Schizosaccharomyces pombe: one gene and its partners. Changing the gene in region 1 together with any one later gene gives a genetic interaction. Each region holds a gene or a part of one and is shown on either strand. Other genes may lie near its edges. The genes, in order: sla1, myo1, bbc1 and vrp1.

Region 1 (3,477 bases):
AAGATTCAATTTAATTCTGTTTCAAGTAGCTTAAGCAATGTCTCAGTTATAATTAAGCTATAGGAAGGTCAACTATTTTTGCTTCACTATATTTTGTATTCTGAAGAACATATTGATGTGTAGGATCGATAGCGTAGCCCAGTCAAGCAATCGAGAACTGTAAACCTATGTTGACTGTGCAGTCGGAAATATGTGAAAGACGCATGGTTCTAAGGTTGATATTTTTTTATTTTTACTGTTAAAGTTGATTCTTGTATGGTTGATATCCACCAGAAATATACAAGTTCTTAATTCAGTCAATTCTGATCATTGCAAATTCCACTGAGAACTTCTGAAATGCAAGCTTGGTCGTACTGGTAAAGAAATAGGACTTAATATTAACTCATGTGAAATTTAAAATATTCAGTACGATACATTATAAGTGATGAAGCAAAAAACTATTGCTATTATTCAAAACCTTTAAAATTCGTATAGCAAAACTTATAGCCGAATATTGTTACGATTTAAGCATTAAATTACGAGGTCATATTGTACAAAATAACTGCATGAAACGACTATTTATTCATCCAAAATTCCTAATATAACCAATCCGAAAAAGTTTATTTGTCCAGTGTCTTTGAAGTATTTGTAAAACAAACAAACAAACAAAATTAATCCATTTTACTCCGAAGCGGCCGAAGGCTTCTCTTCAGAAGCGTTAGATGACCTTTGCTTCTTAAATTTTCTTCCTCTGTTACTATATTTACCAGGACGCTGACGATCCATCTCTTTAAAAGCGTCAAAACGTCTGCGTTTGCTGCTAAACTTTGGTGGATCGTTTTTATGTAATTCAGCTTTCATGTCAACATACTCCTTTTTGCTCATTATAGTGAGCTCGTCCTCGCCCCATTTCAAAGGTGCAGTTTTGACTTTCTCAAGAAATTTATTAGCAACATCGGGTTCCTTGAATTCAACAAATACGCTTCCCTTAAATTTTTTATCGTCATCCCTTCTCATACGGACAGCACTAATGGGACCAGCATTTTCTTCAAAGAATTTTTCCAAAGCAATTTGAGTGTCATCTTTTTCATCACCGAAACCTTTGCAGTAGACACTTCTTTCCATGACGCTCTTGTTGTCTACACGAACTAGAGGAATCATACGACGTACTTTTTCGCCAGCTTCATCGACTTCAAGAAGTTCAGGACTCTTGCGAAGAGCATTTACAATGGCTTCCAAAGGCTGAAAACGACGCATACGTTTGAAATTAGCAATTGTTTGAATGGGAACCCATCCATCATTTTTTTGAGAAGTAGTCCATAAAAATTTATCATGGGGTAAGTTGGTGTCCGAAAAATAAAATTCTATTCATACTGTTAGTAACGACCACTCAACACAAAAAAGGTTTTAATCCAACGTAAACAAAGTGTGTAACATACCAACTTGCTTTAAAACTTCAGCTTCATCAAAAGATAAATCTTTTTTTCCATCATCTTCCTTCTTTTCAGTAGTTTCCTCCTTTTTTTCTTCACTAGTAGTATCTTTTTGACTTTCTACTACTTTTCCAGCTTCCTCGGCCTTGGGAACCTCTGAAGAATTCTCCTGCTTAGATGAGATGTCCTTAATTTCTTCCTTCTGTTCTTCAGTTGACATGATGTTAATTATTCGTAGAGAGACAGGCAAAGGGCAAATTTCATAAGAAGTTGGATTCCTCTCCTAGAAGCATTTCTAACCCTACCCTATTATCGAACTGACATTATTTTCCTACTCATGAAGACAATGTTAAAAGTTGGCACTTAAAAAAGAAGTAGTTTATTCATAATAGATTTATAATAGATAGAATAATCCCATGAATTTCCATTGTTTTTTTTTTTGAAAAGATTAACAGAGATTGCTCCTTACAATGTAGCTCTGGATACAATTTAACCATAATGACAAGCAGTAGCTTTTAGTTTTCCTATTTATGATTCTTTACCGACAATTGCAATATAACCTATAATATCAAGATTCCCCATTCGAATTATCATTTAATATCCACTTTATTGTAGAACCGCTAACTATTAAAACCGATGTAAGACATTAATACTTTAAACTTACTCCATTTGTTGGAGTCATTATATGTTCGTTACGAGATCACTATCAAATGCTTTAATTGAATAATTTCAATTTCATATTGTTGAAGGATTTTAAATAGTAAACGGAGCGCCTCGAAAATTTTAAATTTCCTTTATAACTGACATAGGTGTAAGATTAACAATTTCTTTCTCCATGTTCATAACGTCTTCTTCAGGATTAGATGCATTATCGGAGGGTGGAGATTGTGGTTGATTATTTTCGTCAGATGTAGTCGATGGTTTCTCATTAGTTTCGGCGTCTTCCTCTTCAGACTCCCCTACCATATCTTGATAAATTTCGGGGTGTTTTTGAAAACAAGCCTGCATAGCTTGAAATTTGTCAAGACATTCCATACCTTTTGGTTCACTCTTGGAATAAACGAAGCAACTAAAAGCTGCTTTGAATTCTTCTCCACATGGACCATGAGCCATACCTCCAAGACAGGGACAATCCCAGTTAATCTCTCCAGTATCCGGATTAAATGCTGACTCCTCGCTGCTCTCCTCCTCCACTTCCTCAAATTTCCTAGCATATTCATCATCATCTTTACCAGTGGCTATTTGTTCTCGAAGTATATTTCCAGCTGTCTCCCCGCTGGATTTTTCCTTATCAGTTTTCTTCGGTGCACTATTCTCAGTAGCGCTGACCTTGCGGCCTTTCTCGTCAGTCGAAGGTTGTGTTTCACTTGTCATTTTCTTCTCAATGGCATCTTCAATTCGGTGTCGCTGCATATATGGTTCATTATACGCTATATTGTTAGTTAAATTCATATAATCGTACAGAAAAAGATAGCCATTTCAAACATATGATACTTACATTGTGTTTCCGTATGGACATGTTCGCCTACAACAGGATGGTCATTATCTTGACTCGATGATGCATTTGAAGTGTTTTTTCCAAGTAAATATCCAGCAGTCAAAGAAGCAGCTGCAACGCCAGATACAATAGGCAAAAAACGGCCTTTCCATACATCAGTTTTGGTTGCAGTACCAAATTTTCGACAAATGCCTGCTTGAAATCCATTTCTCTGCAGTAGAGACCTTCTCATATTATTGTAACCGTTAATCCTTATACATTTTGGAAATCTGAAAAGTAAGTTTTTAGCAAACATGGTTTTTTTGATTTATGGGAAGTTGAGCTCTGAACTTCTAATGTCTGCGTAATGGTCAGAAAGCGGCGACGATCTTACAAGAACGTAACTTTGTCATTCATTCTAAGTTTATATAAGTTTGCATGTTTTTTAAATCAGATTTAAGTAAATAGGTATTCACAAATGTAAGACAAGCAAGACTGGCAGGATTTACGAGATTACTAAGAAATGCCTGAATGACTAATTTCATAATAGAATTAAACTAGCGACATAATAGTTTCACAAGCAAACTT
Region 2 (6,344 bases), on another chromosome or scaffold:
TAAATTAGATCATATCGTACAATTAGCCGGTTTTACAGATCCTGTTTACTGTGAGGCATATGTGAAGATACAACAATTTGATATTATTCTAGACATATTATTGGTTAATCGAACGGATACCACGTTACAGAATCTCTCTGTTGATTTGGCTACGTTGGGAGATCTTAAGGTTGTAGAGCGTCCACCACCCATGAATTTAGGACCTCATGCCTTTAAATCTGTTCAGGCTACGGTAAAGGTATCTTCAACGGAGTCTGCAGTAATCTTTGGAAATATCGTGTATGGTGGTAAAGCATCCGACGAAGACAAAATTGTTGTTTTGAATGGCATTCCAGTCAACATTATTGATTATATAAAACCCGCATTCATTCCCGAATCTCAATTCCGTAGCATGTGGACGGAATTTGAATGGGAAAACAAGGTCGATATTTCTTCCAACGAAGACATTAGTCTGTACGATTTCTTACATAAAATAATGAAGAAAACCAATATGAACTGTCTTACTCCAGACGCGTCTCTGCGTGGTGACTGTGGTTTTTTGAGTGCTAATTTGTACGCCTGCAGTATTTTTGGGGAAGACGCACTTATGAGTCTTAGCGTTGAAAAATCCGTCTCCGGTCCTATCTCAGGACATGTTCGCATTCGTTCAAAAACTCAAGGCATTGCCCTTAGCTTGGGTGCATTTGTTTAGAGTAGAATTATATAAGGAATGTTATCCACTCTTTAAATTTCTTGATGGATTAAATTCACAATGGGAAAGCTGTTATGGATGCTGATTTAGTAGGTATATCATGTGTCTAATATTTCGCTAAATCGATATCTGATACGCTGTTTTATTACTCTTGTTGTAAATACCTTTCCTGCCGTTCTTTATTTAGCTCCTTATGATATTTCTACGATTTCGCAATTAAAAGGAGCCTGCCTTGTCATGTTCTCACTACTTGATATCCTGACATTACTAAAGTTGTGTACCTTGTATTTCTCTGTAACAGGCAAGTAGATTAGCTTTCATCTCGTGCATTTAGTTTGGTATTATATATAAACCCCGTTATTTCAATTAATTATGGCACTCACAAACGTTGTCTATAAATCACTGTTTGTATTCTTTTATAAATGATATAAACAGATGATTATGTTTAAGTTACTGCAAATCATATAGCTTCTCTCATATTGTGTTACATCCTAATATCTGTAATAAGTTAATTGTCATAGAATATACTCAAGGTCAATACGAGAACTACAGTTGTATTTGCTGGGGAATTCAACCTTTTATGTCGCGTTATAATAATCTGCGGCTGCTTTGGTTCTTGAAACGGCGATAGCCGTTATATCTAAAATACTTCAAAACTTCTCGCTTTATGAAAGGTATCTTCGACTTAAAATATTCATAATTGAAAATTCATGTTCATTTAATTCATCTTATCGACTACATGAACACACAATAATCAAATCAAGTATTAACTAATTCAAGCGCGTTATGTTTATCACTTCATCATAATTAGTCGCAAATTTCATACCTTTAGTGTGTTCGTTACCTTACCTAATGAAGTTACCCTAAAACACATTTGGATAAGTTTCGTTCGAGTATGTTACATAACAAGCCTCTTTCGGCTAGGTAATTGTTTTAATGTCAATACCAAAAATGGATGAAGCAAACGACAGAAAGCTAAAGTATATTCAATTTTCAGCTAAAGTACAATTTTAATAATTGGGGTCTGAAGTTTCGAACGGTCTTTGGCAATATTGACCTAGAAACTCATATTTCGCTCATTTTAACGATCCGTAACGCAATTATCTCAGTATTAGAAGAAACCTACACGTAAGTGCGGACTTGTCGTTAACCTATCTCTTGTTCGGCCATAAGTGAATAGATTTTATGGTAAGTAAATATGCATGCCGAATGTTAGCTAATTAATAAATTAGGCCATCCTTAAGAGAACAAACCGCGCGAAAGCTGCGACTGCAGCTGCTCCCAATAGCACTGGGAAAAGCAATGGTATTAAAAAGGCTGTTTATACCAGCACACGCAAAAAGACTGTGGGTGTTGATGATTTAACCCTACTTTCGAAAATTACAGATGAGGAAATTAACAAAAACTTGGAACTGAGATTTCGCAATGGAGAGATTTATACATATATTGGACATGTGTTGATTTCTGTAAATCCATTTCGAGACCTGGGTATTTATACGATGGATATTTTGAAATCATATCAAGGAAAAAACCGTTTGGAAACGAGCCCTCACGTTTATGCAATTGCTGAGAACGCTTACTATCAAATGAAGTCTTATCATGAGAATCAATGTATTATCATTTCTGGTGAATCGGGTGCTGGTAAGACTGAGGCTGCAAAAAGGATCATGCAATATATTACACATGTTTCAAAGTCCGTTGGCACTGAAATTGAAAGAGTTTCCGAAATTATTTTAGCTACCAATCCTTTATTGGAAAGTTTTGGTTGTGCAAAAACTCTTCGCAATAATAATTCTTCTCGTCATGGAAAGTATTTAGAAATGATTTTTAATTCCGGAGGTGTTCCTGTCGGCGCTAAAATTACGAACTACTTATTAGAAAAGAACCGAATTGTTAATCAAGTTCGCAATGAGCGTAATTTCCATATTTTCTATCAATTCACCAAGAGCGCTCCTCAGAAATATCGTGATACATATGGCATTCAAGGTCCGGAGAATTATGTTTACACTTCTGCTTGTCAATGTTTGTCGGTTGATGGGATTTCAGATGAGAAGGACTTCCAAGGAACGATGAACGCCATGAAGGTTATTGGTATCACCGAGCCGGAGCAAGATGAAATATTTAGGATGCTTTCTATCATCCTTTGGTTAGGAAATATTCAATTTCAAGAAGGCCAAGATGGTGGTAGCGTGATTTCTGACAAGAGCATCACCGAATTTTTAGGCTATTTGATCGGTGTTCCTGTTGCGGCTATTGAGCGTGCCTTGACAATTCGTATTATGCAAACTCAGCATGGTGCAAGGCGCGGATCTGTATATGAAGTCCCCTTAAATCCAACACAAGCTTTGGCTGTTCGTGATGCTTTGTCTATGGCGATTTATAACTGTCTTTTTGATTGGATTGTCGAACGTGTCAACAAAGCTTTGGTCACATCAGACAACAGCGTTTCCAATTCGATTGGTATTTTAGATATTTACGGCTTTGAAATCTTTGAAAACAACTCTTTTGAACAATTGTGCATTAACTATGTTAATGAAAAATTGCAACAAATTTTTATAGAACTTACTTTGAAAACTGAACAGGAAGAATACGTGCGTGAGCAAATTGCTTGGACTCCTATCAAATATTTCAACAATAAAGTTGTATGTGATTTGATTGAATCCAAACGACCTCCTGGTCTTTTCGCAGCAATGAACGACGCTATCGCTACCGCTCATGCTGACTCTGCTGCGGCGGATAGTGCTTTTGCTCAGCGGTTAAACTTTTTATCCTCCAATCCACATTTTGAACAGAGACAAAATCAATTTATAGTCAAACATTACGCTGGTGATGTAACCTACAGCATTACAGGAATGACCGATAAGAATAAGGATCAGTTAGCAACTGATATTCTTAACCTTATTCATTCTTCCAACAACGAGTTCATGAAATCTATTTTCCCAGTGGCTGAAGAGAGTAACTCCCGTCGTCGTCCTCCTACAGCTGGTGATCGTATCAAAACTTCTGCTAATGATTTAGTAGAGACTCTTATGAAATGTCAACCATCGTATATACGTACGATTAAACCCAATCAGACTAAGTCGCCTAACGATTACGATCAGCAGATGGTTTTACATCAAATCAAATATTTAGGTTTGCAAGAAAACATTCGTATTCGTCGTGCTGGTTTTGCTTATCGTCAAGCTTTCGATACGTTTGCTCAGCGTTTTGCAGTTCTTAGTGGTAAAACCAGTTATGCAGGAGAATACACTTGGCAGGGTGATGATAAGTCTGCTTGCGAACAGATTTTGAAAGATACCAATATTCCTTCATCTGAATACCAAATGGGTACTAGCAAAGTTTTCATTAAAAATCCGGAGACCTTATTCGCGCTCGAAGACATGCGTGATAAGTTTTGGGATACAATGGCAACCCGTATACAACGTGCTTGGCGTTCTTATGTTAGAAGAAGATCTGAAGCTGCTGCTTGTATTCAGAAGTTGTGGAATAGGAACAAAGTTAACATGGAACTTGAACGTGTTCGTAATGAGGGTACTAAACTTTTGCAAGGTAAAAAGCAACGCAGAAGATATAGTATTTTGGGATCCCGTAAGTTTTATGGAGATTATCTATCAGCTTCAAAGCCTAATGGTACTCTATGGAACACATGCGGCCTCTCTCAAAACGATCACGTAATTTTCTCAATGAGATGTGAGGTCCTTGTTCATAAGCTAGGCCGCACTTCCAAACCTTCTCCTCGTCAACTGGTTCTTACCAAAAAGAATTTATATTTGGTGATTACAAAAATTGTTGACCAAAAGCTCACACAACAGGTGGAGAAGAAGTTCGCTGTATCTTCCATCGATTCTGTTGGTCTTACAAATTTGCAAGATGATTGGGTTGCAATTCGTAATAAGTCCAGCCAAAATGGAGATATGTTTTTGCGATGCTTTTTCAAAACAGAATTTATAACTACCTTAAAGAGAATCAATCGTAATATTCAAGTTATCGTGGGTCCCACCATTCAATACTGCCGAAAGCCTGGCAAGGTACAAACTGTTAAGACGGCAAAAGACGAAACCACTAAGGATTATGACTACTACAAGAGTGGAACTATTCATGTTGGTACTGGCTTGCCTCCTACCAGTAAGAGTAAGCCTTTCCCTCGCTTAGCAACTGGTGGTAGTACAGCAGCTGCTAGAGGGCCTCGCCCAGTTGTGCAGAACAAACCTGCTGCTACAAAGCCCGTATCTATGCCGGCTGCGAAGAGCAAACCTGCTCCTATGGCTAATCCCGTAAGTACTGCTCAACAAACCCAAAATCGTCCCCCTGCTCCTGCTATGCAAGCTCGTCCTAATACAACTCAAGCTGCAGCCCCAGTTACAAGTACGACTACAACTATTAAGCAAGCAACCACTGTTTCTGCTTCTAAACCAGCTCCTTCCACGGTAACTTCTGCAGCTTCTTCTCCAAGCAATATCTCTAAACCCTCTGCTCCAGTTGCTAATAACGTCAGCAAGCCTAGTGCTGTTCCTCCTCCTCCTCCTCCTCCTCCCGCTGAAGTCGAAAAGAAAGACTTGTACTTGGCCTTATATGACTTTGCGGGACGCAGTCCAAATGAAATGACTATCAAGAAAGACGAAATTATAGAAATTGTTCAAAAGGAGCCAAGCGGGTGGTGGCTTGCTTTAAAGAATGGTGCTGAAGGATGGGTTCCCGCAACCTATGTGACAGAATACAAAGGTTCTACACCTCAAACCACCGCTTCTTCGACTAATGTTGCAGCTCAAGCGAATAATAATGCTAGTCCAGCTGAAGTCAACAACTTAGCTGGTTCACTTGCTGATGCCTTGCGCATGCGAGCATCAGCTGTGCGTGGTAGTGATGAAGAAGAAGATTGGTGAGCTTTCATTATGATGTATATATAATACGGCCAGTACATTGCTTGATTCTTAATTTGCAATAATGAATGGCTTGTGACAACTATAGTCTCTCCTATCGCATGTTTTTTAGCTATCAATGAAAGCTTCTAGTATTTGCTTCTTGCATGTTTTATTGTGATAGATTGAGAATACTCTTCGTCGACGACTTTGATTAAGCAAAGCTAAATAGTAATTTAATTGTGAAATATAGTTGATACATTGCATAGCGTATACTTATAAATGGGACAAAAGTGATAGCTTCTGTAATAATATTAAAATCATTATCTTGTTTATTGTTTGAATAAATTAGTCAGCTCCAGTGGTAAAACGTAAATATAGTATAGTAGACTTCGACAATACTAAATTCCATTAGCTACCGTAGAAAGAATGAAGTTTTTCAAGCTAGCACTGCGATCAAATAATGAAAGTCCAAGGGTTCGTACAGAAGTGACCACCGGATTTTCCATTGCGTACAGCTTGTGGAACTTATCAACGACTCCTAGATAAACATGGTTTTTGAAGTAACGGTCACGGAAATACGGTTGGAGTGAAAAAACACTACCAATATCCTGACCGTGCTTGATAGCAAAAGAGAGTGCTGATATTAAAGATTCAACATCCTGAATTCCAGTATTTAATCCCTGTCCAGCTAATGGATGAGTGTTATGAGCAGCGTCCCCGCAAAGGGCAATTCCTTCTTTTACATATTCATCAACATGGGCAAGTCTCAACGGAAATGCCGCCCTAGAACC
Region 3 (7,773 bases), 2.7 Mb from region 1:
TCGAAAGGTTCGGTATATAGAATAAGGAAAAGAAATCAAATGCGGAATTATAAATAACGAGAAATAAAGATGCTAAGAGAGAGAAAGAGACAATAAAGATAGAAGGCAATAAGGTGAAATAAATTAGAAAGTGTAAATGGTAAAGGGAATATTGTATCGATCTTTAATAAAAAGTCGAAAACCACAGAAATGTTACTATGCACGCAACTGTAGAATGAAGCAACCTTTCATTCTAGTTCAAACGACGCTAGACACAAGTCGGTGTCTTTTTTGTTCAAAAATATTATACATATTCTGGGGTGAAAAGAAAAAATTTGATAAACTTCCATTTGCTTTATGATTGTTCATTAGCCAAAGGATGTTCAACGATTTCACCAACTTTTGCCTTATAACCCACAGGCAACGCTTGCAGGAGTAAGCGTACATCTTCAATTTTTTTGTTTTCCAACTCTTTACGAAATGCTTCATCTTGACGAGGATCGAGATGTTGTTTCATAGCTTCGCGAGCATCTTCACGTATCCATAATGGTTCGTCGCTCAACTCAACCATATATTGACAACTTTTTAGAAAGCAATCCTTCGAGCAATAATAGTTGAGTCCACCGTAGACCTTCATTCCTGAATCTTCTAATTTATACCTAGTTTGCTGCTTAGGTTCATAAGGACAAACGGGATAACCGCACAGATTGACGAGTTTACGCTCCTTCACCACTTGATCGTAATCACTTTTTCGAAGGTATTTACGAGCTTCCTCTAAAGTTTCTAGGGAAACCGGATCAACCAGCTTTTCAATCCATTCGAGGGCAAAAAAATCATACTGAAGTCGACTGCGTGCTTCATCTATAAGACTCTTCGACCACGTGATCAATTGCTTTTCTTGAGTGCTTTGAGCATTTTTCGGCTTTTTGAGAATTGATTTTTTGTTCATATCTGAATTGGATATATTGGAGTCAGCTGGAAAACAGAAGGTCTTAAAAATCGCTATTAGGCAGATATGAGTCAGTCAAGCATTGGAAGGAGGAATGAGCATCGTAAAAATACTTTAGCGCCGTGCAATTTTTGTTAAAGAGTTCTTGAGTTACGCAATTCATTTACAGCGAACTAAGACAGTGCGTTGGCCTTGGTACTAAAAATTTTGATAGAAATTACCCTCTCAGTTGAGTGTGGACAAAGGAAAAAAAATAAAGAAAAGCATGCGTTGCACCAATCATGTAAAGAAAGTTTTGTAGGTCTCTTTAAGAAAATCATTTTACCGTTAAAAATAATAATGATAAATTTACATCCACCCTATTCATATCTTCCACTAGTAAATAACTGGTCCTTAATCTTAATGATTCATATCCATATCCATACCATACCCCACACCCACACAGTAATCGTAAATATAGCAAACCAACGATGCTGTGGCTTCGTTTTAGGATTGCTAGTGTATCCTTATGTAAAATAGGAAACCAGATCCAATTGCGTAAATATTATTATAACGTTAAATAACAAAAACCAATCAACATTGATAAGCAAAATAATACCCAATAATCTTACAGTGCATTACGCTACCTTTGGCTAGTCGAACGAATCACTGTCAACAAGATGTTACGATTGGAAGGGAATTCCCCAGATCCTTTCCCCACAATGTTCATTCATTGAAAATCGTCTCACATGTAGTCAGTCGCTTCTTCACGTGCGATATTATCATTTGGGTGTTTATTGCTGTTAAGATTGACCAAACTTCTTTGTCTGCACAAATCGCGTGCCCTTTAGGAACCAAAATGACAGTGTACTGGCTTAGATATCCTAATAGAAGAGATTAACGATGACGTTCAGCTTCGCTATCATTTGTATATATTTTTAGTGGTAAAATAAATCGGCGGAGCCTTCATCTTTGGTATCTTGTTTTCTCTTTTTTTGGCTTTTTGTATATCTGTGTTTTAGGAAAAAAGAATCAGTGTATTGTATATTGAATGGTACCATTCTTTTTATACTGGTTCATTGTTTATCTGATCTCTCTTTGTACTTAAAAAAAGTATTAGCGGATCGCAGGCTCCACGATGAGCTCGTTTCCCACAAGAGTGGTTGCACTCTATCCTTATAGAAGCAGCTTCTCCGATGACTTGGAATTTGATCCAGGCCAAGTTATCGACGTCGTCAGTAATCTGGACGGCGACTGGTATACCGGAACATATGTGGACTCGGACGGTAACAGGAAAATTGGCTCCTTTCCAAAGGACTTTACCGAGCCAGCAGAGGATGCTGTGTTTGTAGAACGTGCTAGCGAAATGGCTCTTCATCAACCTACGCCAACTAGTGCTGTTCATTCTCGCAACTCTTCCTTAGGTTATGCTCCTTCTATTACACGTAGCATCAAGTCGATTTCCAACAATACAGAGCATCTTGGTGCCGATACAGAATCATATCTTTCAGCTAATGACTTTATTGACAGTACAAGTGAAGCACTTACGAAGATAGTTGATGTGGATACATTGAGTGCGCCATTCGGTAACGACAGCAACTCGCGTCCACATTCTTTAAAAAATGTGGAAAAATTGCATACATTCTCAGCTCCATATACCATATCTGAAGAGACGCCATCTTGCTCCACTGAGAACGACTCGCTACCACTTACCGCTACTCACACTATTACTGGTGGTGAGGATGCTGCTACCGGTGCTGCTGTAACCAACACCACCACTACCCACATTACTACTTCCACCAACACGTCTACCGTCATCCCCTCTAACCCAAATTCAGTTTTTCTTGTCGATTGTACTCATTCACAGTGCCCAACTGATTTACCAAACATCGCAACTACCCAACACTCTTTAAGGTATCTTGATAACGCATCTGCATCCGCAATAACCGTTTTGGAACGCACTCATCCCGCAGCTTCTTCCACCATGGCTACTGAGTCCTCCCATCAATCTCCGTCTGCGGACTCACAGGCAGAAGAATTATCAAAGAGCCAGCGAGTTGCAAAGGATGACGATCCTTTTGTTGTTTCCAATACTGCGAATTCCGATGAGCCAGCTTCAAGCTCAAAGCCCGCTAAACCCCTTACTGATTTGAATCGAGCCTTTTCTCAGCGCCTTAACTTGGATCCTCAAAAGCCCGGTAAATCACAGGGCGAAATCAGTGAGCAGGAGGAAGATGAATATGACGATGCTGAGTCAGATGAGATGCACAGTCCCTATAGCACTCACGAACCCGAATCTGAACCTGAAGACCAGGATGAACCATCGGAAAAGGATGATGAGAATAAAGATGTAGAGGAAGAACAAGAACAAGAGCAGGAGGAAGAACAAATTGATCCCGAAGAAGCTAAACGAATTGCCCTACGCGAACGAATGGCAAAAATGAGTGGAGGTATTGGTATGCATGTTTTTGGATTGCCTGGTCTAGCTGCACCTATTGGACGGAAAAACACTTTGAGGAGAACTCCTGCCAAATCCTCCGAGGAAGCAAAGAGCACCACTAATGACTCTTCTCCACCAAAAGACTCTTCTTCCACTTCTACTCAACCTACTGAACAATCGAATGCTCAGCAGGCTCCGTCACCGAAGGAGGAGGAGCGTCCACTTCCTTCCGAACCTTCTCAAAACCAACCAGCAGAATACCGTGATACTCCTGATACCCCCCGGAATATAATGCCTTTACCAGGCCTTATGTCTGCCGACCAACCAATAAAGGTCACTGAGCCTTCCAACGATGCAGATAAAGCTATTGTTGCTGAGGGTCCCAATAATGAGGAAGAGACTAAGGGACCAGTAATCCCAGAAACTCAGGAAACTTCCGAACAGCAAGTTCATAAAACTCCTTCTCCGGAGAAGCAAAAAGTGCTTTCTCCTCCTCCAATTATTACTAACTTTGATAAGGAAACACTTGCCTCTAATGAAGCACACGAAGCGGTACCCCAAAAGCCTTCTGCTCCACAAGTCACTCGTCTCATGGCTCCACAAGATAGCTCTTCAGTGGTAACTCCTTCCCCAACTTCTTTGCTGGATCCTGCTCGTGCTGTTCGTAAAGTAATTGATGGAATTGATCCCCCGAAAGAAGCTGGTGCCGGTGCTACAGCTGATGTAGAATCGGCTGCTAACTCACCAATTACGCCTCCTCGCACCTGGCATTCGCCCGATTTTACCTCCAAGTCGTTTGAACCCATAGAGCGCAAACTTCCCAGTCGCATTTCTGAGGTCACTGAGGACAGTATTGACGAGGATAAGCAGAATGAAGTTGACCCTTCCACCAGTGCGCGTGCTCTTCCTCCGCCTGGCTTACGGTTTGGTAAAGTCGACACTTTAGCCAGTCTTGCACATGATGATTTAGATGATTTACCAGCAGTTCCACGTATATTTAGCCCACCTCCTTTGCCAAAGACGCCCTCTGGCGAATTTGGAGATAATGAATTTATGTTCCCAAAAAAGTCAAATCGTGTTCGTGGTCACCAGTCCAGACCTTCAACTGGTTCCCAACTTCGAAATGTTGTTCCTGTTTCTATTGTAACTTCTGGTGGTCGCCCCGCTTTACCCGACGAAATGGCCTCGCCTAGCTCTTCTATCGGTCATCCTTTACCATCTCCTCCTCCAGCGGATTTTAATAGTTTAAATGTGGATTTTTACGAACCTCATAGCTATCTTGAATCTCCTGCTCCCGAACCTCAACCTTCTTATGAGGAAGAAAGTTTTAATGCTACGGTAATACATGCTCCAACTCCTAGTACTGCTACTTTTCAAGGTCATCCTACCATATCAAATGTTGCTACTCCACCTTTGAAGCAAGATGTTACCGAAAGCAAAGCTTCTCCTGTTGCTGATGCCTCAGCAACACATCAATCTAGTACAGGGTTAACTCAAGAAATTACTCAATTAGGCTCAAATATGAGATTACCCACCAAGTTGACACGTCCATCAAACGATGGACGCAAAGCTTCTGGACCAAGGCCTGCTGCTCCTCCCTCTATTCCTCCACCTTTACCAGTAAGCAATATACTATCTTCGCCGACTTCTGAACCTCCAAAGGATCATCCACCCTCGGCGCCTTTGTCGAAACCAGTATCAACTTCACCTGCTGCTCCGCTAGCCAGGGTACCTCCAGTTCCTAAACTTTCGTCTAAAGCACCTCCGGTGCCATTGCCTTCAGCTGATGCTCCACCAATCCCAGTACCTTCTACTGCCCCTCCTGTACCCATACCCACTAGTACTCCACCAGTACCGAAATCTTCTTCTGGAGCTCCATCAGCACCACCACCAGTACCAGCACCTTCATCTGAAATTCCATCAATTCCAGCTCCGTCTGGAGCTCCACCGGTGCCAGCACCTTCTGGAATTCCACCAGTGCCAAAGCCTTCGGTCGCAGCCCCACCGGTACCAAAGCCTTCAGTTGCAGTTCCACCGGTGCCAGCGCCTTCAGGAGCTCCACCAGTTCCAAAGCCTTCAGTTGCAGCTCCACCAGTGCCAGTACCTTCGGGAGCTCCACCAGTTCCAAAGCCTTCAGTTGCAGCTCCACCAGTGCCAGCGCCTTCAGGAGCTCCACCAGTTCCAAAGCCTTCAGTTGCAGCTCCACCAGTGCCAGCACCTTCTTCTGGAATTCCACCAGTACCAAAGCCTGCTGCGGGTGTCCCACCGGTGCCTCCACCAAGTGAAGCTCCACCGGTACCAAAGCCTTCTGTGGGTGTTCCTCCAGTCCCCCCACCATCTACAGCTCCACCGGTGCCGACACCTTCCGCTGGGCTTCCACCAGTACCAGTTCCTACTGCAAAGGCTCCTCCAGTACCTGCACCTTCTTCTGAAGCCCCTTCAGTTTCGACACCAAGATCTTCGGTTCCGTCGCCACACTCGAATGCCTCACCTTCTCCAACTTCTTCTTCTATGGCTTCTGCTGCTCCAGCACGTACTTCAGTTTCAAGGTCGAAATCTAAAGCTGAAAGGCATGAAACATCGACAAGCAGTCGTAAGTCTTCAAAGTCTGGAGAACACCATCATCATCACAATGAAGGACATGCTGATTCATCTTCTACTCGTACGTCATTAGCGCATCAAGACAGTCGTAAATCTCTTCATCGACATCTTTCGCGCTCTTCGAGTAGAGCTAGTAAGAAACCTTCTATTGTCTCTACTACTGGACCTTTTAACGAAAGCTTTTCTGCAAAGCCGGTTGAGCCTTGCGCTTCTGAGAAATGGTGGCTGAATTCTACTGCTGTTCCTAAATCCGTAGTGCAGATGAATGACTCTGTTCTATATATGATAAAAGAAGGAATTACAGGGCAAGATAAAAAATACAAGTCTGTACACATACTGTTCCCTGACTACAGCCAAACAGTCTTGACAGCTACATTCAACCCACATAACCAAAATATTACACAATTATCTCAACTTCAACTAGCTCCACCAGCACAGCCTTCAAAAGCTAGATTAGATGAGGAATATGCTTGTTATGGCTCTACAATTTTGAAAAAAGCCCGAGCTTACCAAGGTAGCATGGTTGGTGATGGTTCTGCATTCACTTTTGTTAATTCCGTTATGTCGATACTGGCGCATAATCTCGAACCTATAAACAAACAGACTTTTGGAGGTGTGATTTACAAGAATGTTGGAAATGTTACTGTGCAACAAATTGGTGAGATTCGCCCAGGTGATATAGTTACATTTGATAAGGCTAAATTTAGTGGACAAAAAGGTACTCTTCGTTCAAAATACTCTCTTGAAGTTGGTAAGCCCATGCATTATGGTATCATATCAGAGTGGGATGTTTCGAAACTGAAGATTAGGGTGTTGGAACAAGGCAGAGAGTCCAAGAAGGTTTCAGTTGCAAGCTACAAATTCGGTGATTTAAAGAGTGGAGAAGTTACTGTGTGGCGTGTAATGCGTCGATCTTGGCTTGGTTGGAATTAATGGTAATTATTTTACTATGGTTTTAAGTTCTTATCATTTTATCACAAATAACTCAAACTTCCTAAAGAGCAGCACTCATTTTTTTAAATTGTTCAATTGCGAAGCAGATTTGAATAGTCCTTAATGATCGTCTGTCAGTATATTCTTTCACTGATATATCTTTGACGATTGGGATTATTTATATCATTTTTTGACGACACGCCCTATGTTTTTAGAAGACTTATATCTCGTGGAAGTTGTTTGCTGAATTATATTCACATATATACCAAAGATTGGGCTATGTGATTCAACTTTTGAAATATATATACACATCTACAGTCATTTTTATAGTATATGCTAATAATCAGTTATATCTAATTAAACAGTTGAAATGCACAATTAACAATGTATGGTAAAAGGATAAGATTTTGTAAGTTATTGAACTGTACTTAAAGACAATTTCGGAAAAAAAAAATCCTTTACAAAATTCTAACTCTTTTTTCAAACGCTTGCGCTTATATAATCAACAAAAAACATTTATTTCGAGGTGAAACCGAAAATAACGGTTAACTGAAATATATACCTAGTCAAGATTAACGAGAGTGACTTTCACTAACACCCAGAGAACAAGGATGTAACATTGCAAACCAAACAAACTTCTTAGAAAACACATTCAGTTCAAGTGTTATGACTGTTCACCAAAATGAACAACCGTCAAGTGCAAAACGCAGTTTAGGGTAAACTAGTAAATAGGGAAACAAATGGAAAGTGTAAGAGTCATTTGAAGCAATAGACCCATTATTGGTACAAGAATTTGATGCCACACAAAGAGAAGTAAGAATAAATAGATTGAAAGATTTTTTAAAGGAGAATCGTATGTCGTTAAGATTATTGCTAGTGGTAGATTGTACTG
Region 4 (6,081 bases), on another chromosome or scaffold:
TAAACAATTCTAGCCGTTCTGCTTACTCTTATATTAACAACGGTCAAGCAGGCTCTTCCAAAGGTAACCGATATGATAGTTTGTGGTAGGAACTCATATCACGCTTTAATGATCACAGAAATACATCTCAACACCTAATCCGCCATATTTGCTTTAAAAAAAGTAGTTTTATTTTATATAGTTGCTCACTACAATTCTCGCTATTGTACATGTGAATCCCATTGCGTTAAAAATTAGACAAGATATAAGAATAATGTACAATTAATAAACATCTTTTAAATCAACGAAATAACACAGAGACCATACTTCGCAAACAAACAAATTGGCTATTTACAAAAATTGAATTACAAGCTGTTTGGATTTATTCGCTATCGCTCTCAACAATCCGACGCTTCACTCTTCTTTGTACAGAACCATCACCGACAGAAGTCTCTGTAACGGTCTCGGATCTGTCAGTTTCCACTGCGCTAGGAATTACCTCATCGTCTTCATATTTATTAATAGTAGCTCGTGCTACACTTGCTTCTTTATCCGCATCAAATCCTTTTATATCGGAGCCAGCTCCAACTTCTTCTTCATCCTCTTCATCTTCTTCTTGTTCCTCTTCTTGTTCCTCTTCCTCTTCCTCTTCCGCTATAAAGTCACCAAGGTCATCTTCTTCATTTTCTTCCAGATCCTTATTATAACCACGATATTGACCAGCTCCTTCTTGTTTAATTCGTTTTAAACGATCCATACGGTCACTGTCAATGATTTCATTTTGTTCGCTATAAGTAGAACGGGGACCGTAGAAGGAAGAGTAATCCTCTTCTTCTTCTCCTGTTCCATTCTGATAATTGTTCAATTGCTTTCTTTTCTCTAAACGTCGCCGAGCTCGACTTCGTTCCTCCTCATATTTTTCAGCCTGACGCTTTAGTAGTTCTGGATCCTTTTCAATAATAATTTCTTGTACGCTTCGACTAGGAACCTGGACTGTGGTGAGACGCATAGATGGCAATTTTGATCTTGTAGCAGTGTTAATGGCTGAAGGGAGGAATGTAAAACTGCTTTTGAAGGATGTTTGAACTCTCAGTAAATGTTGTGCTTCATGTGAGGCAGTAACAAAAGTTGGTTGAGATATTAATTTATTTTGGGTATCATATATGTCGTTACCAATGCGAAGTGAATATGAACCATCAGACCATTGTACAATTTGCGCATTCGATTGATAGCTTCCAGACGGCCCCAATCGCCAGCGGACAGTATTATCAACTTTATGTTTTATTCTTTGACCCCAATGCGCGTCGTGTTCTAATAAAGCTGCATCTGCTTCGGCTTCCGCGGCGTACTGCTCTGGATCGTACGGAGTCTGTTCCACAGAAAGGAAATTTGGAATATGAGCATGAAACACGTCATTACTAGCAGAAGCTGGTGATTTGAAATTGGGAACAGCGACTTCAAGGACTTTCTTTACAGGAACACTAACATTTGTTAGGATGCATAGATTTAAATAGCTTGCTATAGTAAAAGACGCTAATTTTTGATTTTTTACTAAAAAGCCTCATGAAGCGATTTATTACTTTCACCACTGTGGCAGCTGTATAATAAATACACATTTAGAACTACCATCGGCTAGAATCAATTCGCTTCATCTATAAGACTGCAACTTACTCTGCTTCAGGGGCTTCAGTAGCCTCTTCTGTATTCGAAAACAAGCCGTCATCGCTAACGGCTGTTTCACTATCGTTTTCTATATGGCCATTTATAAGTTCATCTTGCTGCGAAGTATGATTGTCTTCATTCTCACTAAACAAATCATCTTCCTCTTGACCGTTGCGGATGTCTTCTTTAGAATCCGACATTAAATCTATTTAAATTCCTCAAAAATTCACCAGTCTAAACTTTCCAGATTGGTTCCGGTCAGAATACGTATGGTGTTGTACTAAGATGCATTAAATTGAATAATCACTAGAAGGTACAATCCTGTTACTTGTAGTGCATGGTGGTGGTAGAAAGCTTAGGGTAGCTCATAGTTAAAACCCATACCCGTGTTTCCACTTTATATTTTGAGTTATATTTATTATTGTCAAAGTATATAGCGAATATTTTTTGTAAAATCATTTAAAATCTGATAATTTAACTTTTACTTTTATTGTATTGTTAGGTGTACAGGCGAATTATCTACTATTTTGATTACAGACCTCAAGCTTGTTAAGATTTATTTTTGATTTTTAATTCTTCCTTCTTATAAAATGGCACCTGCACCACCGCCTCCTCCTCCAGCACCAGCGCCTGCTGCTGCTGCTCCGGCCCCCCCTCTAATGACCGGAGATCGATCAGCTCTGCTCAATTCTATCCAGAAAGGAAAGAAACTAAAAAAAGCTACAACGAACGACCGATCGGCTCCCGTTGTCGGAGGAGGTGTCGTAGGCGAACGTAAATCTAACACTCCAAAAAGCTTTGCTGCTCCTCCTGTACCCACAGGCGCACCCTCTTTACCGACTTCTTCAAATAATACTCAGCAAGCAGAAGAGAGACCTTCCATGCCTGCATTAGGAGGTTTATTTGCTGGCGGCATGCCTAAGCTTCGTCATATTGGAAAGTCAAGTGCTTCAGCCGCACCACCTTCCGCTCCTGCTCCTCCTACTCCACAATCTGAGTTGCGTCCGCCAACAAGTGCGCCCCCTCGACCTTCAATTCCTCCACCATCTCCTGCATCTGCTCCACCTATTCCTTCAAAGGCACCTCCTATTCCATCGTCTCTACCTCCACCTGCACAACCTGCTGCACCGGTGAAATCTCCTCCTTCAGCTCCTTCATTGCCCTCAGCGGTACCTCCGATGCCACCTAAAGTTCCTCCACCTCCTCTATCTCAAGCTCCTGTTGCTAATACATCATCACGCCCTTCTTCTTTTGCTCCACCAGCAGGACATGCACCTAACGTTACATCAGAATCTCCTAAATTTCCTAATAGAGGTCCATCCATTCCTTCAGCTTCTGTTCCTCCAGTTCCTCCATCTTCTTACGTCTTGCAGCAGCGACCTAATCGTGGTAAGTTTGCGATCATTAAAAGCATTATTTTTTTATTAACACAAAACTCTAGTTGATGATCATGGAAGATTCCACTTTAAGGATGATAGTTACTTACCAATTCCTCATCCCTTTCTTGGAGTCCCTAAAGTTTATCGGGGTGGTAGTGGCACTACGGTCCCTTTGAATCTCTCTTCATTTTAACAAATCTTTTTAAAGCTGTGTACGATTAATCTACTACCAGTGTTTAGTTGTTAAACACAGAATTTTCTTTCGTTAGATGGATACTAATAATTACTCAGTGATAGAAAAAAACTAAAAATTCATGCGGCCTTTTTTATGAATATTAAAATTATTTATAAAGATTCATTAATCCTTATAAATAAATCGTTAAATAAACTCTAAAATTAATAAATTAATGTATAAAAAAGGATTATCGTACAACAAAAAAACGAATGTTCTTAAATAGCCCCAAAAAACTCCCAATTGCCCAAATTTAGTAAAAAGTTACGACTGCTCTTCGTCAAATAACATATCCAAAGCTTCATAGTTGATTTTTTTTGAAAAAGCTCTTTGTTGCATCATTTCTTTTGCACTTTCAGCAGCAGTATCGGCTATTCCATCACTAGTGCTATCTCTAGGACGATATCGTCTTCTTTTACGAGGTTGTCGGACAATTCCTTTTTTTAAATCTTCTTGGAGTTTTAAATTTTTCGCCTCTTCCTCAGCTAAATAATCTTTATTCAACTCCATCCAAACTTGAGTTTTAGTCAATATTTCATCCTTGTCAAGCAAAATATCTTCAATTTCATCATCATCAACGTCTTCTAAGGTAACTTCTTCCTCCGAAAATTTAACGTTAACTTGTAGAGAAATCTTTCTAAGTTCATCGCCCTTAAGGGTTTCAGTAACCTCTTTCCTAATTTCTCTTTCATCGGCCTTCAAATGCACAGGAGTTTCTTGAGATTCAACTTTTACTGTTTGCGAAAGCTCTTCAGACTTAACTTCGTTGCCATCAAAATCCGGGGTCCTTTTAATAGGGGACATGTATTCTTGTGTGTGATCAATGTTTGAAACTTTTTGAGCACCGTATTGTTGAAACTTTTGATTTTTAGTAAAGCTAGGAGGATCGCTCTGTCCTTCCAGCCAAATGTTTCGAAAGTCGGCGATTGAAAGATCACCGCTCTCAGTTAATTTAAACTCATCAAGGCGTTTTTGAATAGTGATATCCGCAACTTTCACGACATGAACCACTTCTCGTACGCTTCGTCGAAAATTATTCATTCTTGCTGCAATGAGTAAGCATGCACCACAAATTCCAGCTGGCCGACGACCAATTTGCATCCAGTCTCTATTCATTCGCGCTACCAATCTGATAGCGTCGTTTGCGACACGATGTGTTTCCGGTCCAAATTCGAGTAAAGAAGCAAATCTACTGATATATAAAGACGGATCTAAAAGAGGTAAATTAGGCCTTAAAACGCGGCACAACTTGAGAAAAGTAGACCCAAGCTTAAAAACGTTAATTTGCAAAATATCAGAAAAATCGATTAACATATGAGACGTCTTAGATATCCGGCAAACAATATACAAACAGGATGCAACAACGTATTGCGATCTCCTTCCTTTTATAAAGTTGTTGTTAATTGCCAGTGTAAAGTAGCGAACTGCTGCTTCGATATGGCGTTCGTTAAGTTTTAAAGCAATTGCCAATGCCGAAATTCGGCGACGTCCGTTTGCAATGGTAAGTTCTCTGGATTCTACGGATCCTTGATTTCTGTAAGGGCCACCAAAAGTCCGAGCATGAGCTAAAGCTGTGTTAGATATAAGTCGATGAAAAATATGGACGAAGAGGTGTCTATTAGTAAAAGATCAAACCAAAATTTAACACAGACTGAACAAAAAAAGGTGACTGCATCAGAACTGTAAAACACCGCATTGCTGGATGATTGCCTTCTAACTTACTTTGATCATTACTCACAAGAGAACCCTGAACAACAGCTGCACCAGTTGAAGCCTCTCCGAATGTCACTTCCGAAACAATTGCATCTTGCTCGACGACAACACCGCATTGTGTACTATTCAATGGTTAGCAGTCAATTGCCACGTTAAAATTATATAATAAAAAAAACAACTTACCAATATGTATTTCCAGAAGCGGTATCAGATTCAAAAGTAGTTGAACCGCAATTTGGACATCCCATGGCGAATAACTGAAAACACTTGGGCGTTAGCTGTTTGGGAAATGGTATTTATCAAAGATTAAGTTTAACCCACATGGAGTACTTAAGTGGGGGGGGGGGAAAGAAATATCACTGCAAATATGCATACTAGCATATATTTTAAAGGTCTACAGAGAATTTAATCGGGTTTAATTGTTTGTTATTTTATTTTGTTTTTTTGTTCTTTTTTAATGGTTTGGAAATGAAGAGCGTTAAAATAAAATTAAAAATAGTAAATTGAACTTTGCTTCTGTATATGGTATTTGGACTTTTTAGTTTAATATATATTATAACAATTTTTACTAGTAAATTCTCTAGTTTATCTCGAGCATTGCAAGTTTAGCAAATGATTAATGAATCGTGACTATATGGTTCATTAAATCTTTTTATGTTAATTAACTTGTTAAAAACATTGTTTGGCATATATATTTATATAAGATTATGCAAGTAACGTAATTAGGAGAATAAAAAGTAAGACAGAATATATAAAGAAATAACTTAAATTGCTTGAAGTTAAATAAATATTGGTAAAGATCTTAAGGTACTGTGAGAAGCGTAAGCGGATTCTTATTTCTCTATCTTAGGCAACACTAGCGTTTCTATGCATACAACCTCATAGTCCTTACTCACCTTTTCTCACATATATTTAATACGCAGATGAATCGTTTGAATTTTCAAAGTTTACTCTGGAAATTTGGACAAAAAAGGTTTTATTACAGACCATGGATCAGAATTGAAAATATTAAACCAACACCATTATGGAAACCGATTACATTTGCTGTTGGTGTTGGTTCTGCCACCTTTTATACGGCCAATTATCTCGATAAAAGAAGAAAAAACTACCCCAAAA

The links.
Region 2: of sla1 (region 1) and myo1, changing one suppresses a phenotype caused by changing the other (phenotypic suppression), as found in Schizosaccharomyces pombe (one study listed by BioGRID).
Region 3: of sla1 (region 1) and bbc1, changing one enhances a phenotype caused by changing the other (phenotypic enhancement), as found in Schizosaccharomyces pombe (one study listed by BioGRID).
Region 4: of sla1 (region 1) and vrp1, changing one suppresses a phenotype caused by changing the other (phenotypic suppression), as found in Schizosaccharomyces pombe (one study listed by BioGRID).

What each region holds. Positions count from the first base shown.
Region 1 is NC_003424.3:1,381,882-1,385,358, forward strand, and holds sla1 (La-motif domain-containing protein), read right to left. Parts: upstream 1,668-3,477; 5' UTR 1,633-1,667; coding exon 1,419-1,632; exon of another isoform or gene 1,344-1,418; coding exon 661-1,343; 3' UTR 527-660; downstream 1-526. Other genes in the region: disulfide relay system thiol oxidase subunit Mia40, read right to left, coding at 2,196-2,842, 2,911-3,205.
Region 2 is NC_003423.3:1,023,463-1,029,806, reverse strand, and holds myo1 (myosin I myo1), read left to right. Parts: upstream 1-1,833; 5' UTR 1,834-1,876; coding exon 1,877-1,879; intron 1,880-1,923; coding exon 1,924-5,574; 3' UTR 5,575-5,844; downstream 5,845-6,344. Other genes in the region: coatomer beta subunit Sec26, read left to right, coding at 1-691; monooxygenase Coq6, read right to left, coding at 5,952-6,344. UniProt on the Schizosaccharomyces pombe protein: Type-I myosin implicated in the organization of the actin cytoskeleton. Required for proper actin cytoskeleton polarization.
Region 3 is NC_003424.3:4,104,782-4,112,554, forward strand, and holds bbc1 (SH3 domain-containing protein), read left to right. Parts: upstream 1-1,866; 5' UTR 1,867-2,045; coding exon 2,046-6,881; 3' UTR 6,882-7,263; downstream 7,264-7,773. Other genes in the region: RNA polymerase II CTD phosphatase Rtr1, read right to left, coding at 335-928.
Region 4 is NC_003423.3:3,053,244-3,059,324, forward strand, and holds vrp1 (verprolin), read left to right. Parts: upstream 1-2,021; 5' UTR 2,022-2,231; coding exon 2,232-3,030; intron 3,031-3,082; coding exon 3,083-3,213; 3' UTR 3,214-3,516; coding exon of another isoform or gene 3,517-4,817; intron 4,818-4,832; 3' UTR 4,833-4,974; coding exon of another isoform or gene 4,975-5,087; 3' UTR 5,088-5,148; coding exon of another isoform or gene 5,149-5,213; 3' UTR 5,214-5,560; downstream 5,561-6,081. Other genes in the region: SPOM_SPBC13E7.07 (uncharacterized protein), read left to right, coding at 1-89; RNA polymerase II-associated Paf1 complex protein Leo1, read right to left, coding at 362-1,460, 1,651-1,841; transcription factor TFIIIB subunit Brf1, read right to left, coding at 3,517-4,817, 4,975-5,087, 5,149-5,213; rbd1 (rhomboid protease), read left to right, coding at 5,889-6,081.